Linked DNA regions of Astyanax mexicanus. The protein of the gene in region 2 purifies or fractionates together with the protein of the main gene of each other region. This does not show direct contact. Links are inferred from orthologs where the notes say so. Each region holds a gene or a part of one and is shown on either strand. Other genes may lie near its edges.

Region 1 (8,862 bases), on a different chromosome or scaffold from region 2:
CTCTGCATCGCTGCCAGTGAAGTCGTAAAGAGTCCGCACATACTCCAAATTCTCATCACCAGGTCCACCGATTGTCTGAATAGGACCAGTGGTTAGAGCTGTGTTGGGGTACCTGTTGAAACAGAAAAGATGCTCACAAACAGAGACTGGGACCAAGTTTACAGAGCTGTACAATCATTTAACCACGGCACACAACACATTCATGATGCCTTTCAGTATCATCATTGTATCTACTTTTAACAAGTTAACTATGTGTTGTGGTTAGTAAGTGGATGGATTAGTGAGGCAAGACCTCTGTGGTAGGGCCTCTGTGGTAAGATCTTGGAGTCCTTGGCCAAGACTCCTAACACTACATTTGACAACCTTGATATAAATGCAAGTCGGTCTGGGTAAAGAGCATTAGCCAAATTCCAATATTACAATATTTTATCATATTGACATACTGTTATCCTGATACACAACACACTTTTTAAGCATATAGTAGGCACTATATTCCTTTATAAAAAGTGAAAGTCTAACAAGTTTAACAACATGAAAACATATTTTGGATACTTTGTGAAAATGTCGCTAAATGTAGTGGAACAATGTAGTGAAACAATACTTTAATACTATTTACTTCCCACCCCTTGTAGCTAGTTGCAACTAGTCTATACACATACTAAATGAACTAATCACATAGGAATAGCAGGTATTAAAATGCAACAACTTTAATAAAAGAAATGGCAGAAAACACACCAAAAACAAAATGAGATCCCATACTAGGCATTTCACAAATGTTTCTGACAACAGACTGTCCCTGAATACACAATAACTTAAATCAGTCATTCTAAGACAACTTTGTGCCACTTATATAGTAGATGATACAGCAACATAAAAAATAACACAATTACTCTCTTAAAGAACAATATTTTTAGTATTAATACTTTGATGTATGTCATCATTCTTAAATATATACACACAAACATTCAATTGAACACAATGGGTAATATCGTGAAAATAATGAGTAAAAATTACTCTTAGTCAACTTATGCCAATACATTGTGCATGATTAGTCAATAATGTTGAGAATTATTATTGTGGCAGGAATACTTTATACTGTCAGAACGTGTAAATATGGTACCTTAGCCAATATATGTGATTGTATATTATACACAATACACATATATATTTTAACAACGTACTATAACATTAATATAGCAAATTTAATTCTACAAAATTTTATACATACATCCCTGAGGTTCCTGGTGTATGATATGTGACTACAATATTAGTAAACATTATGTGTGCTTTAATGGATAAACACAAATCGAAAAAAATTAACTGGTTTCAGTTGTATGTATATAAGGCTGTATAGGGACAAAAATCCCCTCACAATATAGTTATGTTGCACATCATCTAATTTAACAAGAATTTGTAATGATATGTAGATTTTGGTTGTTTTTTAAGCACTGATGAACTCCTGGATACTTATTAAATATATTTGGCTTGATTCAAATACGATAAAATATCTCCATATTGTACAATTTCTACATTTAAACCACAGGAAACCATCACAACCATCACTCAGAGCTGCATCTTCCAATGAATGAGTTGAGGTAGGGTTGTAAATGGCAAAGGTTTTGTTCGTACATGAACACAGCACTAATTCAGAGGTAGCTAACCTACATATGGAAGAACCTACTGACAAGTGCAAACGTGTTCCAACAAGGTGGAAAAGAAGGTCGAAATGTTCACCCTTGTAGCTGAAGTCTGAAACCAAGAATACTTAGCTACGTTGGATAATCATCTTTACCCAAATTGATATCTCAAAATATTTCTTTATTTCAGTCAATTCTATATAATTAATAATACAACCTCAAGTAGAGTGCTTACCTTGGTGCAGGCTCTATCAAGGTAGTCGTGTCCAGGTAATGTATTTTGTAGAACTCCAAAAGCGCGGGCAGATGCTCAAATTCCTGGTCGCCTATCTTGAACCTCTTGCTTGGCAAAGAGTTGATGATATAGTGGGAGACTTTGGAGTTTTCGGACACCGACAGCACGTAATCACCTGGACAGGTGGACGAGTCTCGAACTAAAAACATACCGTGTCTTTGTCCCTGTAACCTACTCTGCGTCTCCTGCCTCGAAAGCGAGCCGAAATACCAACAGTTTCGGTCCGAGGAGTCGAACCGTGCCGACGACATGTCTGATCTTAAATAAATAGCAAACGTTAGTTAGGTTAGACTTAACAATACAATATGTATAAATGTTAGCTATAGAATAAATTAGAAAGACGAGTGTTAGCCTTAATTCTGACTTATTGTAACGTTACAGCACTTTGACACTTTTTAAACGTGCTTTAGTTATAAATAAAGAGCTGAACTTTAGCTAAAACAAAAATGAACTACAACCTGCCGTTTCACAAGACAGGAGTGCAAGCAACCGACACAACCCAACTTAGTAGTTAATTAGTTGCTTTACCATGAATTGCGCTGTGTGTTCTGGCTTTGCAAAGAATAAGCACTGCTTTAAAATAGGTAGATATATATATATTACATTTAGATTATTACAAAAAATGATCGGTCAAAAAAGACAGTTTAAGTGACACCAAATCAAGAGAATACCGAGAATATAGATTAAAGTTCCCCTTTTTCCCTTCCCTCTTCCGCCAAATACCTAGTTAGCTACACAGCTAGCAGACAGCCAGCAAGTTTAAATAATAAACAATATTATTCAGTCAGATTAATTTCTAAAACAATATTATCTAGCTAGTTTAGTTTAAGAAATAACTTAACTATACTGGCCAGCCACCGACAGTTAACTTAACCCTAGTTAAAACTAACTTAGCTCATCTAGTTTGGTTCATGAAACGAATATTAGCAAGCTAACCTAATTAACTGTAGTTCTTTTAGTTGGTTATAAAACAATATATAAGCCAGCTAGATTATTATATTTCCTGAAACAGCATTAACTAGCTAAGCTATTTTAGTTTATTAAAACGTCAATTAAACAATGATTAACCAGCTAATCACGTAACTAACTTATAGTTTAGTTCATGAGACAATAATAGCAAGCTAGCAGCTAATTAGCTAGCCGTCTCAGCACTGTCAGCTCACGATAGAGAAAAGCTCGCCATAGTTAAACTTAAGATTTATTATCTCGCTAAAAACACCGCTCTCTACATCACGATAGCTGCTTCAAAACACAGAACATACGTTAAAGCGTCCATTAACGAGTCCTCAGCAGTATTTCACACGCTAAAAACACCCAAAACAGCGTTTGTCCACGCCTATACTCCAGCAGCTAGCGCAAGCTAACCGACTTCAGTAACAGAGTAACAGTGCCGCTAGCGCTAGCGTTAGGTTAGCTAGCAGTAACAAAGATGGCGGCCTGCAACACGTCTTCTTCACACTAAAACTCTCACACAAATGTGAGCAAATCCTCCACTTTAAAAAGAGATTCCGCAAAATAGCAAAAGTTCTCAAGCGTGAAAGTAGTCCTCGCCGCTCGGGCGCGTCTCTGACACCCGAAAAAGCGGTGTAAAACCCACTCTGTCCCGTTAAATTCAGTTCCCCTGTGAGGATCAGGCAGCTTCAGCCCTCTCCCTCTCCCTCTCGTCAGCTCAGATAGTGTGAGGTGGAGAAATGGAGAAATGGCGTCTGGAGGGCGGGTCTGCTCTCGCCTCTCTGCCGCCGCTTCAAACCGAGAAAATGATGTGCCTGTGAGGCACGACACTCCCCCACTCCTCCCTTTATTTATTTATTTAATTTTTATATTTTTTTATTAGTTATAGAAATAGGTACAGTGATATATTGAAACAGGAAACAAGAAGAAGTAACAGCAACATATCAGCAATGTCAAAGATAGGTAACGTTAAATAACGAAAGAAAGAAAAAAGAAAAATAATAATATATTTTTTTAAATGTTTCGTGTAACATAATATTAAGCTAACAAAATCAACAAAATAACGTAAGAAAAAACGAATGTAATGTAGTAAATAAATCTAAATCTCAATACTAAAAGAAAATGGGGGGGATTGTGCAGACATTACCATTTTTTTTTATTCCACCTTAAATTTTAAATTATTCAGCCTCTGCTGTCTGTTGCACCATTTAAGGTGCAACGGGAAATTTAGCTAGCTACTGAGGCAAACTATTAGCTAGGCCTGTCACGATAAGATTTGTTTGTGGACGATATATCGTCCCAGAAATTATTGTGATACACAATATTTTTTTTGTAATTTTAAGACTATTAAATGCCACTGACACAATGATAACAGAACAGCATAAAAAGGCAGTTATACACTTTTTTTTAAAGACAGCTAAATTTTAATAATTAATCATTTATTATAATTAGTTTGGGAATTATATACTTATTTCTTCACCTACTTTAGTCCTCACAGTGTTCATGTTATAGAGTCAAAGTTATTGAAGCATGACTGACTAAAATACTGTTATATATAACAAAAGGAAGAAAGAAAAAAGAAAAAGAAAAAAAACAGAGGAATTGCAATAATAATCTTAAAAAAGAAGACATTCCATAGTCATCTCATCTTTTGAAAAGACTGCAAAAATAATGAACAGCCACAAGAATTTCTCAAAGTATCTTTTCTTATTATTTATTTAATATTTATTATTATTTAAATTAAATTGTAAAGCTTTAAAACATTTAAGGATCTACCTATTTTTTTATTCAATGAGGGGCCCATTGACTTAATTGTTTGCAAATATATTTTAAAATCAGAGTTTATAAAAGATATATAAGATGGCAGTTTTTTTTTTGTTTTTAGCTTTATGTATGTAATATTTTGCTAATATTATAATAAGGTTGATAATAAATGATTCATTGCAATGAAATAGAGGGTTATTAAAAATATAAAAAATATAGTTACTTTCAAGGGGAATGTCTTTACCAATTTTCTTCCCTAAATTCCAAAATATATCTACCCAAAAAGAGTAGGTATAAACACAATAAAAAAATAAATGATCAATTGTCTCACTACAGTTTTTACAGAAGCTGCAATTTTCAGAGATGGAAACAAATCGACTTACTCAGGAGCTGTGGTGACGATGATGGAGAGAACATTAGCAAAGCCAGTGCTGATCTCTGATTTTGCTATTTATAATTATATGTTTGAGTAAAATTAAAATTGTTTCATTCAATATAAGTTACTACGGACAACAGTTTTTTTTTTTTTTTACAAATAAAAACATTGTCATTTAGAGCAGTTATTTGCAAAAAATGAGAAATGGCTGAAAAAAACAAAAAGATGCAGAGCTTTCAGCCCTAACAAGTTAATATTCATGAAGTTTTAAGAGTTCATAAATCAATATTTGGTGGAATAACCCTGGTTTTAGCTTGGTTTGATGGCTTCTGATTTTTTTTGATGATCATCCATCTTCCGTTTTGAGTATATTCCAGAGGTTTTTAACAAGTTAAATCAAAGAAACTTATCATTTTTTAAGAAGGCTCTGGTTATTATTTTGGGTAAAAATCATATACCTTACACTGTTGTAAGTGTATTAATCTTACAATCTAATAATATCTGATTTATTATTATGTTATTGCATTCTATTTTATTTTATCTTATTTCAACAATTGTACTTGGGTGTAACTGGACAGTGAGAACACAATTTAATTCTACCTCATATACCACATGTGATGTGAATGACAATACTTGCACCCTCTCTTTTCCTATGTTTATAACTTACATGATTTTTCCTGTATCTGCAGTTATGGGGAAAACAATTTTAAGATTTTTTAAGACTTTTTCATAGCAAACAGAGCCATTGAAATTATAACAGCTAAAATATTAAGTTATATCAGTATCGGCCATTATTTTTTAAAACAAGTCTACATTTTTTGGACTGAGACAAAATGTCTAAACTACTTTAAAATTATTTTATTTAAGTTCATTTTTATTTTTATTTTTTTTATATTTTTACTAGTTTCAAAAGATATTTTGTTTTATTTAGACAGTTTATTTTAAATGAGGGTGTAAACCTGTGACCAAATGTAACAATGTTACATACTAAGCAGACAATGCAATCACTATTACTTATTTTGTTTTTACACAATGCTAAAAATAATAAACATAATACTGCACAGGGTTTTGCTTACATGCACCTTTTACAGTGTTCAAATGCACCATTTAAGGTGGAATGGAAAATCTGAACAGAAAACTGGTGAATAAAAACCTAGGTTATATCAGCCACAATTATCTTAATAGTAAAAATAAACGTAATATTTCCATTACAGGTGCATACACATAAATATTACAGAGAAATGTGTTTAAAAAACAACTGTGATGGCTAGGTAGGTTAACTAGGAATAGAGCTAGCTTGGTTACCACAGTATCAGTTAGCCACAAGCTAACAGAAATGTTGGCTAACTTAACTAGGTTAATGTTAATTGATAAACTGAGTAACAACATTGAATTAGTTGTTTGGAATAATGTCTAAAAGCAATTTTGACATGTTATTTACACATGTATAGTAAAATGTCCTGAATAAATAGATTTTATGGTTCTAGTTTAAAGATAGCTTAGCTTAGCATTACCTCAAATCCTGTCAGAAACTTCCACCAACTGACAAAATATTCGAATTTCCCGCGTTTTTTCGCGCTGCTTCCAGCTGTGAGCTGCAGACAGGTGAACACAGCGGTACAGCAGGAATTGTATTTGGTTCTTCACCTGCTTCACCTGCCTACAAAGGTGTTTTAGGGCCACTTTTAAAAAAATAAACACAGATCTGTTTGAGATAAAACCGGCAATATTTAGAGCATAAAGTCACAATATTACAAGTTTAAAGTTGTAATATTTAGAAACTAAAGTCATAATATTTCGAGAATAAAGTTGTAATATTACATAATTAAAATCTAAATATTAAAGTCTAAATAAGCTAAATAAAGTCCTAATAATACAAGAATGAACTTGGAATATTTTGTAAATAAAATCGAAGTGTTATGATATAAAAATTTTAATATGATAAAATAAAAGTCATAATATTTTGAGAATAAAGTTGTAGTATCATAATATTATAAGATGTTATATCATAACAATATATTTTTTATATTTCGGGGGAAAAAATGTGATATTTAAAGAACATTGCCATAATATTTATAGAATCCCGTTTACCCCAAACACTTCTAAAAATAAGAAATACAGATACTGAAACAAAGCTATTAAATTTACACTATTACAGTTTGTCGAGTGGTTGCACATAGGTAAAATACAATATTTTAGAGAATAAACTCGTAATATTTTGATAACAAAGTTGTAATAATACAAGTTTAAAGTCATAATATTTTAAGAATAAGGTCGTAATATTTTTAGAATAAAGTTGTAATATTTCGAGAATAAACTTAAACTCCACATTATTTATTTTTTCATTATTTGCCTTGCTATGCCTTCCAGCAGGAGTTGGTATTAGGCGCCACTGTGTGGTCAGAAGTATTAGTTATAATTCATTTACAGAAATCACTGGCAAATGCCAGAACATGCTTTTGTTGAAAACAGACATATATCGACTATATTAATATTAATATTCACATTCATATTCATATTACTACGTAATACATTTAAATACATATTTTGTTTTAAGTGTCTTTTTTCTAATTCTTTGTGTCTAGAATCTCTATCTTTTTTTCTCCCTTTCTCTCTCTCTTTCTTTTTTGTACACTTTTTCTTTTTTTTTTGCTCTTTTATGCAAAGGTTTATGCATCTGCTTTCCACTATTAAGGCGAGTGTTTTAAACTCTATATATACTATTTTTAATTAAAATGTGCAAATTTAAGGTAACACTTATTCAAAGTCCTTTATTTTTTAGACTTACATTATAGTTAACTTTCTTTAAACGTTATTAGCTAGCTATTTCAAGCCAATTTAAAGTTTATTATCTGTATTATCTTTCTTTTTAGTTTACTTTATTTTCTTTTTTGGTGTTTTTCCTGCAGTTCACTATTCCTTAGTCTTGCTTCACACTCCAGCTCAGTAGGTGGAGGTAATAATGCAGCAGGAAGACTCGGGTTTTGGCGGGGAGCCAGAATTCGGCACAACACCGGGGGTGGAGGGGGGTGAGTTAGCCGGGTTAGCTAGCGTGCTAACGGTGTAGAAGCGGATTTGGATCAGCAGTTCATTCACTCCGCTCGGTGTAACAGCAGCTAGCTAACGCTTCTGGAAGCTATGGATCTTCCCCCGGATAATGACTGGAGGAGTCCGGGATTCCGGCAGAAAGTAGTGGCGCAGATGTGAGTAATATTATTATTTATTAGTAGTAATAATTAACTATCATTACCAGCCGAGTCAGTGCCTTAGCTGAACTGAGCTAGCTCAGTCACTGATTATACTGGGTAGCTAACCTAGCGTAGCTAAGCTAAATACCGCCGCTAGCTAATGCTAAGCTAATACATTTATGGGACGAATTGGGCGCATTTTAGCTACCTAGCTTAGCTTAACGTTATATTAGCTAAGTTAACTAGTTAGCTATACCTTACTGGTTAGCGAAGTTAGCTTAGCTTAGTTTAGATAACCTAATTAGCTGAACGTTTACTCTAAAAAACACACGAAGCCTGTATATAATGTTATACTGTATTAATAACACGTAGTTAACTAATTAGTTAATGCGGTGGACATGCTCTGGTAAGAGAGTACTTAAGTTTCTGAATCAGTTTCTCTGATTTTGCTATTTATAGGAAATTATGTGTTTGAGTAAAATTAACATTGTTGATTTATCCTATAAACTCCGGATAACATTTCTCCCAAATTCCACATATAAATATTGTCATTTAGAACATTTATGGACAGAACATGAGAAATAGCAGTAATAACAAAAAAGATGCAGAGCTTTCAGACCTCAAATAAAGCAAAGAAAACAAGTTCATATT
Region 2 (8,352 bases):
CTTCAATTAATCACTTGTGGAAGCGGCAGGGGCATTCATTTTGCATCAAAAATGTCCCGCGCTGGGAGCCAAGAGGACCCGCGGCTGACAAACAGGATCCGCAACTGACCGCTGACCGAGCGGACCCGTGGGCGGACCGAGCGAACCAGAGGCGGACCGAGCGAACCAGAGGCGGACCGAGCGGACCCGTAGGCGGACCGAGCGAACCCGTAGGCGGACCGAGCGGACCCGTAGGCGGACCGAGCGGACCCGTAGGCGGACCGAGCGGAGCGCGGAACATTTCAGATGCAAACCGAGCCTACCTTAACCTTGGATCCGCTCGTGCCGGCTCCGTTTGGCTCCAGCGCGAGGCATTTTAGATGCGTAGCGGACCCGAGCCTAGCCTAGCCAAATCTAGCCTAGCCTAGCCTATCTGGCTACGTGCCTATGTGATTACGTCATCACGCACAGAGATAGTCCAGCTACGGAAGCTGATTGTGTTCAGCTGTGCGGCGAGCTGACGCCAGTAAATCGCATGTCCGTGACAGATCTGTAAATAATACATATCGATATACCACAAAAATGATATCACCGTTATTGAAACATTTCTTATCGCGATAAATACCGATATCGAAGTATTGTCCAGGCCTAGTTTACAATAATATAATGTGTAAATAATTATTTTAATATAATTTTAGTTAAAGCTAGTACAATGTAAGGCTTTTACAAACATTTATAAGTAATGCAAAATATCGTTTAACATCGGTATGGGCAAAGTTATAGAAGATATCGGTATCTATTTTTTTCCCAATATCGCACACTCCTATCATAGCCGTGTATTCTAATAAAAATGCTAACTAGCACCTTGTAACTAGTGGTGGACAGTAACAAAAACTTTTGACCCATAAGAGCCCAGACCCATTTCTGAATTTTACTACCACTTTAAAATGTAATCAGATAAATTCAGAGAGCAGCCCATTCCTGTTTATTCTTATTGCTGGCACATAACTGTAAATATTTTATGGTTAAAAACATGATGCAACATAAATGACACAATAACAATTTAATAACTATTATTAACATTTTGTTCTAGAAATCAGGTCATGGTTATATGGAATCTTCACCCACATCATTAAGTGTTTAAATTGTTAAATGGTTGGAACAGACTGGAGGCAAATAATACACTATTTAAAGGACAGCTCTACGTATGCATGTGATTTGCATTCCAGCACTGCAAGTATGTAGGTAAGCTAACATGTAAAGATAATCTTTTTTGTTGTTAACAATCTAGCTATCTTGGATTTTCTGGGTGTTCAGGCAAGGGACGGATTCTTCCCAAAAACACATTCCTAAACTCTGCCTTGGTTACTTGGTTCAGGCTGTCTGGAAGGAAAAAAGTTTCCAAATTAAGCTGGCGTCTTGCTTTCAAGATCATATGATTAGTGGTCATCTAAGATAAATTAACAAATCTAGCTAGCTATTTAGTTAGCTGGTTAACCAGGTTCTTTGGTGCTACCTTAATCCACTATAGTGTGAATTTTATTTTTTTATTATATTTCAGCCCACATTTTAGAAGCTTCATATTAATTGCTGGTCATACAACTGAACATTTATCATAAGAAAATATATACAAATCAATAAACAAATAGTTTTAACATATTTGTCATAACAAAGTAGGTTTAACTGCATAATGATGCCCTAAGGCAACAAACAGGAAAAACAAACACTTTCATGGACAAGTATACATCCTTTACATGTATTTAAACTAACATATCCTTTTACTTATGAAAATATTATAATAATAAAATTTTAATAAAAGTCCCTGTTAATCTATCAGTCATAAAAACATCCCCCAACAACTGCACTAGAAACTGGCTTGTTTCCTCAAGGCAACATCACTGTGGGAAAAAAAATAAGAGACCAATTAAAAATGATCTGTTTCTTTGAATTTACCAAATTGAAAATCTCTGAAATATAATAAAGACGAAGGTGGATGATTACAAAACATCAAAACATGCATTTTTGCACAAGGAGTGGCTTAAAGTTATCCAAAAGCAGTAAGGCTGGTGGAGGAAAACATGCCAAGGTGCATGAAAACTGTGATTAAATACCAGGGTTATTTCACCAAATATTGATTTATAAACTCTTAAAACTTTATGAATATGAACTTGTTTTCTTTGCATTATTTCTAGATTTAAAAAGGTTAATAAAAAAACTTAGGTTAATAGTTGCTGGCACAGCGTTTCATGTATCTTTGGTTCCAGAAAATAGTTTACCCCCAACATTACAAATCTAACGAAATTTTAGCTAGCGCGTTAAACGGAGCCTAATTTTTTTTACATAGTCTAACTAACTAACGTTAACTAGGTTAACTAGCTAACCTGACTATTTACCTACGTGGCTATGCATCACTGACATATTAGTAAAGTTATTTAGCACAACTTGAGCAACTTAAGCAGCATTAAATAAAAGACAACTGGCTACAGGTAGCAAGTTACCTAGTTAAGATAACGCTAAGATAACGTTAACTTACCCACATTAGCTTCCTAAACAAGCGTTACCCATCCTATAACCTAGTCTCTGGGCGTTGATAGCTAGCCGGCTAAGTTAGCTAAAGCTAGCTAGCGAGTTAAAGCTCTAATCTGAGAGCACCTTGTCACGACGTGATGGCAGACCCTATATTTAGTAATACAACATGCTGCAGAGCTACAAACTCGTTAACGTGAACTCATTTTCTTAAACAACCGTTGGATTAATAGTGATTAAAAGGCAGACCTGCTGTTAAATACGCACCTCACTTTCCCTAGCAACGTAAAGGTTAAGTATAAAGTTAAAACTTGGCCAATATAAGTTAGTTTGCTAACCAGCAAACTGGCTAAGCTAACTGTTGGGTTAGCTAGGTTAGCTAATGCTGTGTTGTCTGGAACTGTTCAACTGACACTGGTGACGCTAGATAGTTAGCTAAGTTAGCTAACTGATTTATTTTTAGAACTTTAAAACAGGCGTCATTAGCTAATGCTAGCTAACCCTATCGCTCTTTCGCTCTCTCTCTCTCTCAGACACGTAGCTAGCTAGCTAGCCAAATAAGCTAACGCCACTGGTAAAACTGCGTTACGCAGGTTAGCTAAAGTAGCTAAGCTAACGTTAGCAAGCAAGATTCGACAACAAAAGTTGTATTTTCTTCAAAAACATACAATTTCCACGGGAATACTCCATATCCGCATCAATGACGAGCGCAAGCAACGTGTTCCTCAAGTTTTGACGTCCATTCTGTGTCGAAATAAACATCCCAACTCGGCCGCTTTCTCCACTTTCTAACTTCTGCCTCTTCCACCTGATCGGCTCCGTGTGTGTAGGATCAGCAACAGCAGACAGTCTGACTGTCCAGCCGGAGCTCTCTCTCCCCGCCCAGCTGCCACACTCCCAGCAGCCGCGCTCTGCTTTGCCTCACTTCCTCCAACTCACTCCACACCAGCAGCGCAGACTATCATTAAACACTCACTCCTCTAATAGAAATAATACGATATTTAATGCTACTCGTTCTTAAAGTTCTCAAATAAAGGCCATGAAATAGTCGTAATCAATGTATAAACTTTTATCGCTTAAGACAAGCAACGCAGGCAATGCATCGCGCTCCATTTGGTGGCTGATATTTGTTGTTATTGCTGAACAGCACGTCCCCCTCATACCACACAGCAGATGTACATTATCCTGAAACAGTGAGAATTTACTGTTACAAAAAGTTTATAAAGTTTATTTTGTCTTATTTATATATATTTACTTATAGATACACAATGATTACAAATTGATGCCACTATCAACAAGCACATTCTTTACACAAATTGAAAATGTAAGCCAAATATTGGTAAATCAGGCGTTTTACAACCACAATAATAATAATAATATATTTTGTTTCTCTAGGCCTTAAAGTTTGTTTGTATCTAGGCCTTACCAATTATTATTAATATGTCTTTGAACAAACAAAACAACGAAAAAGTTCGTTTTTTAAATTATTTTAGTGTCTTTTGAATTCCTTTACAATAATGGAAAAGCCTGGTCATTTTAAATACTATGCAAAAGTACAAGAAATCTTAATTGTAAATGTATTGACCTTTTTGGGATATAACAAACATGATCCAAAGAATATGAAAAATGACCAGAAACAAGGAAGATAATACAATGAAAAAAATAAATTGCTTATGAAATCTAAGGCAAACACATTTGTTGATTGTCTTGTTTATTGTCTTGCATCTGAGTAGGTAAAGGGTCAACGCCATAAATTGCATGTCTCTAGGGTTTGCTGTTCGGTCTGTGAGATTCATTTCAATGCAGGAAATGAGTAAAAAATAAAAATAACAAAACACTACGGTTACTTATGGAATCCCATTCCTGCCACCTAAATAAAAAACATCAGCAGAGAAAGAAACATCTCGTTATTTTGAGTTACTATCCCATTATATTATATATAGGGAATACAATGTACTATTGAGATTTCAAACAGCCCTAAAGCACACCATTTAGTGCACTTTTTTTTCTGTAATAGGGAGCTATTCTGAATGCAGCTATTGTGTTGCAGAACAATTACGTACTGTAAACTGTTCATTTAATAATTATTTTTTTTCTTTATAATAGGTAAACAAATGTTTAATACCTAAAGCTAACTGCATTACATTGATCATTTTTTCAATGTGTAAATATACTCACTAATAAAAAATAAAAAGGTAGTGAGGGCAGCAAGGCATCAAGTCAGCTTGTCCTGCGTTTTAGATATACCCACAGAGATATAGCTCAATATTACCATGATATTATTATGCTGTTCTGCCCTCTAGCGGCTGAACCAGCTCTTAACATTTTCTTCTCGGAAGAGAATGAGACGTTCTCCTTCTCCACAGACAGCAGACTCGCTCCGAGCATCATCCGCGGAGCTGCCATTCAGGCCTGCAGGCTTCATGATCGCTGAGTGAAGCGGAGCGCTGCTAACGCTACGCCGCCAGACCGCGGGGCTGAGAGCCACACGCCGTGCGCCATGGTCCGGGACAAAAAGGACAGGGACAGCTGGGGTGAGTGCGTGTCCGTTTAAACCACCACCCACGGATGGATGTCCTGGATGGAGCTGCCTGGAGGAAATTGTGTTATTGTGAGGCCGAGCCGAGAGCCAGAGACAGGGCGTGATAGGGTGATCTGTGTGTTTTCTGAGCCACAGTCCGCTTCCATAGCTAATATACACGCACACACACACACACACACACACACACACACACACACACACACACACACATAATACATATGCACACATAGAGCCCCAATGACAGGGGGTTGTTTATTCCCTGCCTGCATGTGAATATAGCTCATCCCTGAGCCCTGCATGTCTGCATGTTTGCTGAACAGAAATTAAATAGCATTAAACGTGTAGATCATAAAAAATAATAAATAGACATAAACAGACTACAGTCCAGACTGGTCCAGAGTCCAATCGGCCAATCACATGGCACAGGCTCCGTTTCTTAACGGGATTAAGGCTCTGCACCAAGATACGACCACAGTGAACCTCCTCATATACTCATATACTCAGATCATAATCTTAAAACTAGCATATTTATCCAATACACACATGAATAGCTTTACTGCGGTGTTGATGTTATTGTTGTTGTTGCTGATGCAGCTGTAGATGGCTAGTTAACTAACCTGTCATAGAATAGCTGCACGCACAGTGGCGTATTAAAAATACAGCTCTCTAATGCTGCAGGTATGCAGGAATGTGTGTTTGTGATGTTGGGCGTCTTGAAGTTCATGGCTGCTGAATGTTGGTGAGCAGCAGCGGTGACCTACATACAGCAGCAACAGCAGCACTGGCTCTGTAGCTGTTAGATAGCTACCCAACAAATAATGACGTGTGGTGGAGATGCTGCCTCCCTCACAAGATGTCCATGGGCGTGTGTATGTGTGTGTGTGTAACCTATGTAGCTATGTGTGTGGCCTGTTACACCACTGTCCAGGCTAGGCTAGCGTGAGTGTGCATGATAGAGAGAGAGAGAGAGAGAGAGAGAGGGGAGAGAGAGAGGGAGAGAGATGCAGTGTGTGTTGGAGAAACAGAGATATCTACTGGGTCACAAGAAACAAGAGAATGGATTAGGGTGTGAATAATTCACTGTGGAGAGAGAGAATGTGTGTGTCTGTCTGTGTGCTGTGTTAATGCTAATTCTGTCATCATCCCAAATGTGTGTGTCTGCCCCGCTTGATAAAATAATCAGCAGCAAGTCTGTATCACATCCCTTATTATGTAATATCACACCAGATTTGCCATGGTATATATCACAGGGATTTTATGATGTTTGCACAATTGTTTTGATTGCTGACTACTTGGAAATAAGTAATTTCATTGGTTTCCTGAATATGGAGTAAATCTAGAATCTAGTGTTTCACTATTAAAAAGCCTATTAAACCTAGTGAGAAACTGGTTAAGATGGTTAACCAGCTTTAATTCTTGACCAGCATTGTGTGATGTTTGAGGTGCAAGCATGATTAACCTTATCAAGCTGAATTACCAAGCTTGATCAGCATCACCTACAAGCTTCATGGCCAGTGCAGGGCCATTGTATTAGCATGGCCAGCATCACTTGGTCCTTTTCCAGTGGTCAATGTACCTCAGCAAGTATTGATTTGAAATATGTAGGCACATATAATTCTGAAATCATTGTGCATCCCTATTTAATCTATTTAGCAAAAGCTAGTCTTCAACTAGATTTTTTAGCAGGAGATGTGATATGAATTAATGTGAATGAAGGAAACCACATGGTTTCTGTTGTGGTTATCTTCCCCCGTGCTGTCTTTGTTCTGCTACATGTTGTCTGAAGGTTTTTGACAGAAAGACAGGTAAAATGATGGATGAGTTCCGTCCCACTCCTGCAAGTGTGAGAGACTCATGTGAGAGCAGTCAGTGTGAGAAGAAAATAAAACTAAAGCTTGAAATTGAGCCACTACCTCAGGGCAGCTTTCATTTAGCATTTATGTAGAGGCCTATCCTTTCTTAAAGCCCTTAAGCTCTAGGATTATTATCAGCTATTAATGTTAACACTTTTTATGCAGTAACTACTGAAATGGTTGTCCTCTTCTGTAATCATTCATTCATTACAATGAAATGATTGTGCAAGTTATGAGACAGGTCCTCTTAAGTGTAAGTGTCAGAGATGACAGAGATAAGTGAAAGTGAGGTGCATTAAGAGTGCACCATGCTGGCAGCGCTGTAACTGTACTATAAAGCAGAGGAGATGCTTTAAATCAGTCAGAGTTGTCTATTTAGAATTGTGGTCTAATAAAGAACCTTAGAGGAGCTGCTATTTAAGGTTATCTAGTTTATTAACCTTTCATTTTTTTAGGGGTTGAATTAGGAAAGACAGCACAGATCAGTGCATAATTTGTTTATAATACTGTATATGTGTATATCTGTATATGTGTGTGTGTGTGTGTGTAACAGGGTCATTTGTGGATAAGAATGTATATGACTGGAGCTCAGAGGACGAGGAGCAAGACACCAGGGCCCGTCCAGTGCAGGTGCTGGTGGTGAAGGATGACCACTCGTTTGAGCTGGACGAGGCGGCGTTGAGTCGTATCCTGCTGGCTGAGGAGCTCAGGGACAGAGAGGTGGTGGCAGTCTCTGTAGCTGGAGCTTTCCGGAAGGGCAAGTCTTTCCTCATGGATTTCATGCTGCGCTACATGTACAACCAGGTAAAATCACCTGTTTTTCTTCTGATTCATTTAATTAATGAATTAAGTATTGAAGTACAACAATTTTTGGTCTTTTAACAGTGGGCAGACTCATAAAACATAAGACCCTGTGTGTGGACATGTGGACCAACACTTCAGTTTTACACACTCATTACTATGTAACATACACATTGGTATTACAGAAGTACAGAAAAAAAGATTTAATTTGTAACAAGAGTGGATTTTTTTCTAACCACCCAAATCATTTAAGCATCATAATACATTTATAAAAATTATTATTCTTTAAAATACATTTACTGAACAATATGCTTTAAGATCACCAAACTAAACAAAAAGTTCAAGATATTAAACTCAGTAGATAGACGGTAGAGAGGGCGGGTCTCAGATTTTTCATGTACAGTGACTCATATCGAAAGAGAAAGAAAGAGCTCATGACCTAATGACTTCCTGTAATATCAGATATGATGTCAGATAATTGCCCCTTGAGAGTTCTTTATCAGTTATTCATGTATTGATTTTGGTGCTCAGCTTCAGCCTAGCAGGGAAAGAGTCCAGCACCGCTTGTGGTCTCTCTGCTCCTTTATGCCAAAAAAACATAAGATTGTGGGTTAAATCATATTGCCATAGTTACTACAGTATGCAAACTGC

Evidence for each region. The genes of interacting proteins can lie anywhere in the genome.
Region 1: the proteins of map4k5 (region 2) and crkl purify together in Homo sapiens (affinity purification with western blotting; 3 studies listed by BioGRID and IntAct, with this or other methods). This does not show direct contact. The link is inferred for Astyanax mexicanus from reciprocal best matches to the Homo sapiens genes MAP4K5 and CRKL.

Annotation. Positions count from the first base shown.
Region 1 is NC_064424.1:2,441,673-2,450,534, reverse strand, and holds the start of crkl (crk-like protein), read right to left. Parts: upstream 3,656-8,862; 5' UTR 2,184-3,655; coding exon 1,873-2,183; intron 113-1,872; coding exon 1-112. Other genes in the region: med15 (mediator of RNA polymerase II transcription subunit 15), read left to right, coding at 8,162-8,226. UniProt on the Homo sapiens protein: May mediate the transduction of intracellular signals.
Region 2 is NC_064414.1:39,114,228-39,122,579, reverse strand, and holds the start of map4k5 (mitogen-activated protein kinase kinase kinase kinase 5), read right to left. Parts: upstream 3,562-8,352; 5' UTR 3,174-3,561; intron 1-3,173. Other genes in the region: atl1 (atlastin-1), read left to right, coding at 5,006-5,039, 7,454-7,704. UniProt on the Homo sapiens protein: May play a role in the response to environmental stress. Appears to act upstream of the JUN N-terminal pathway.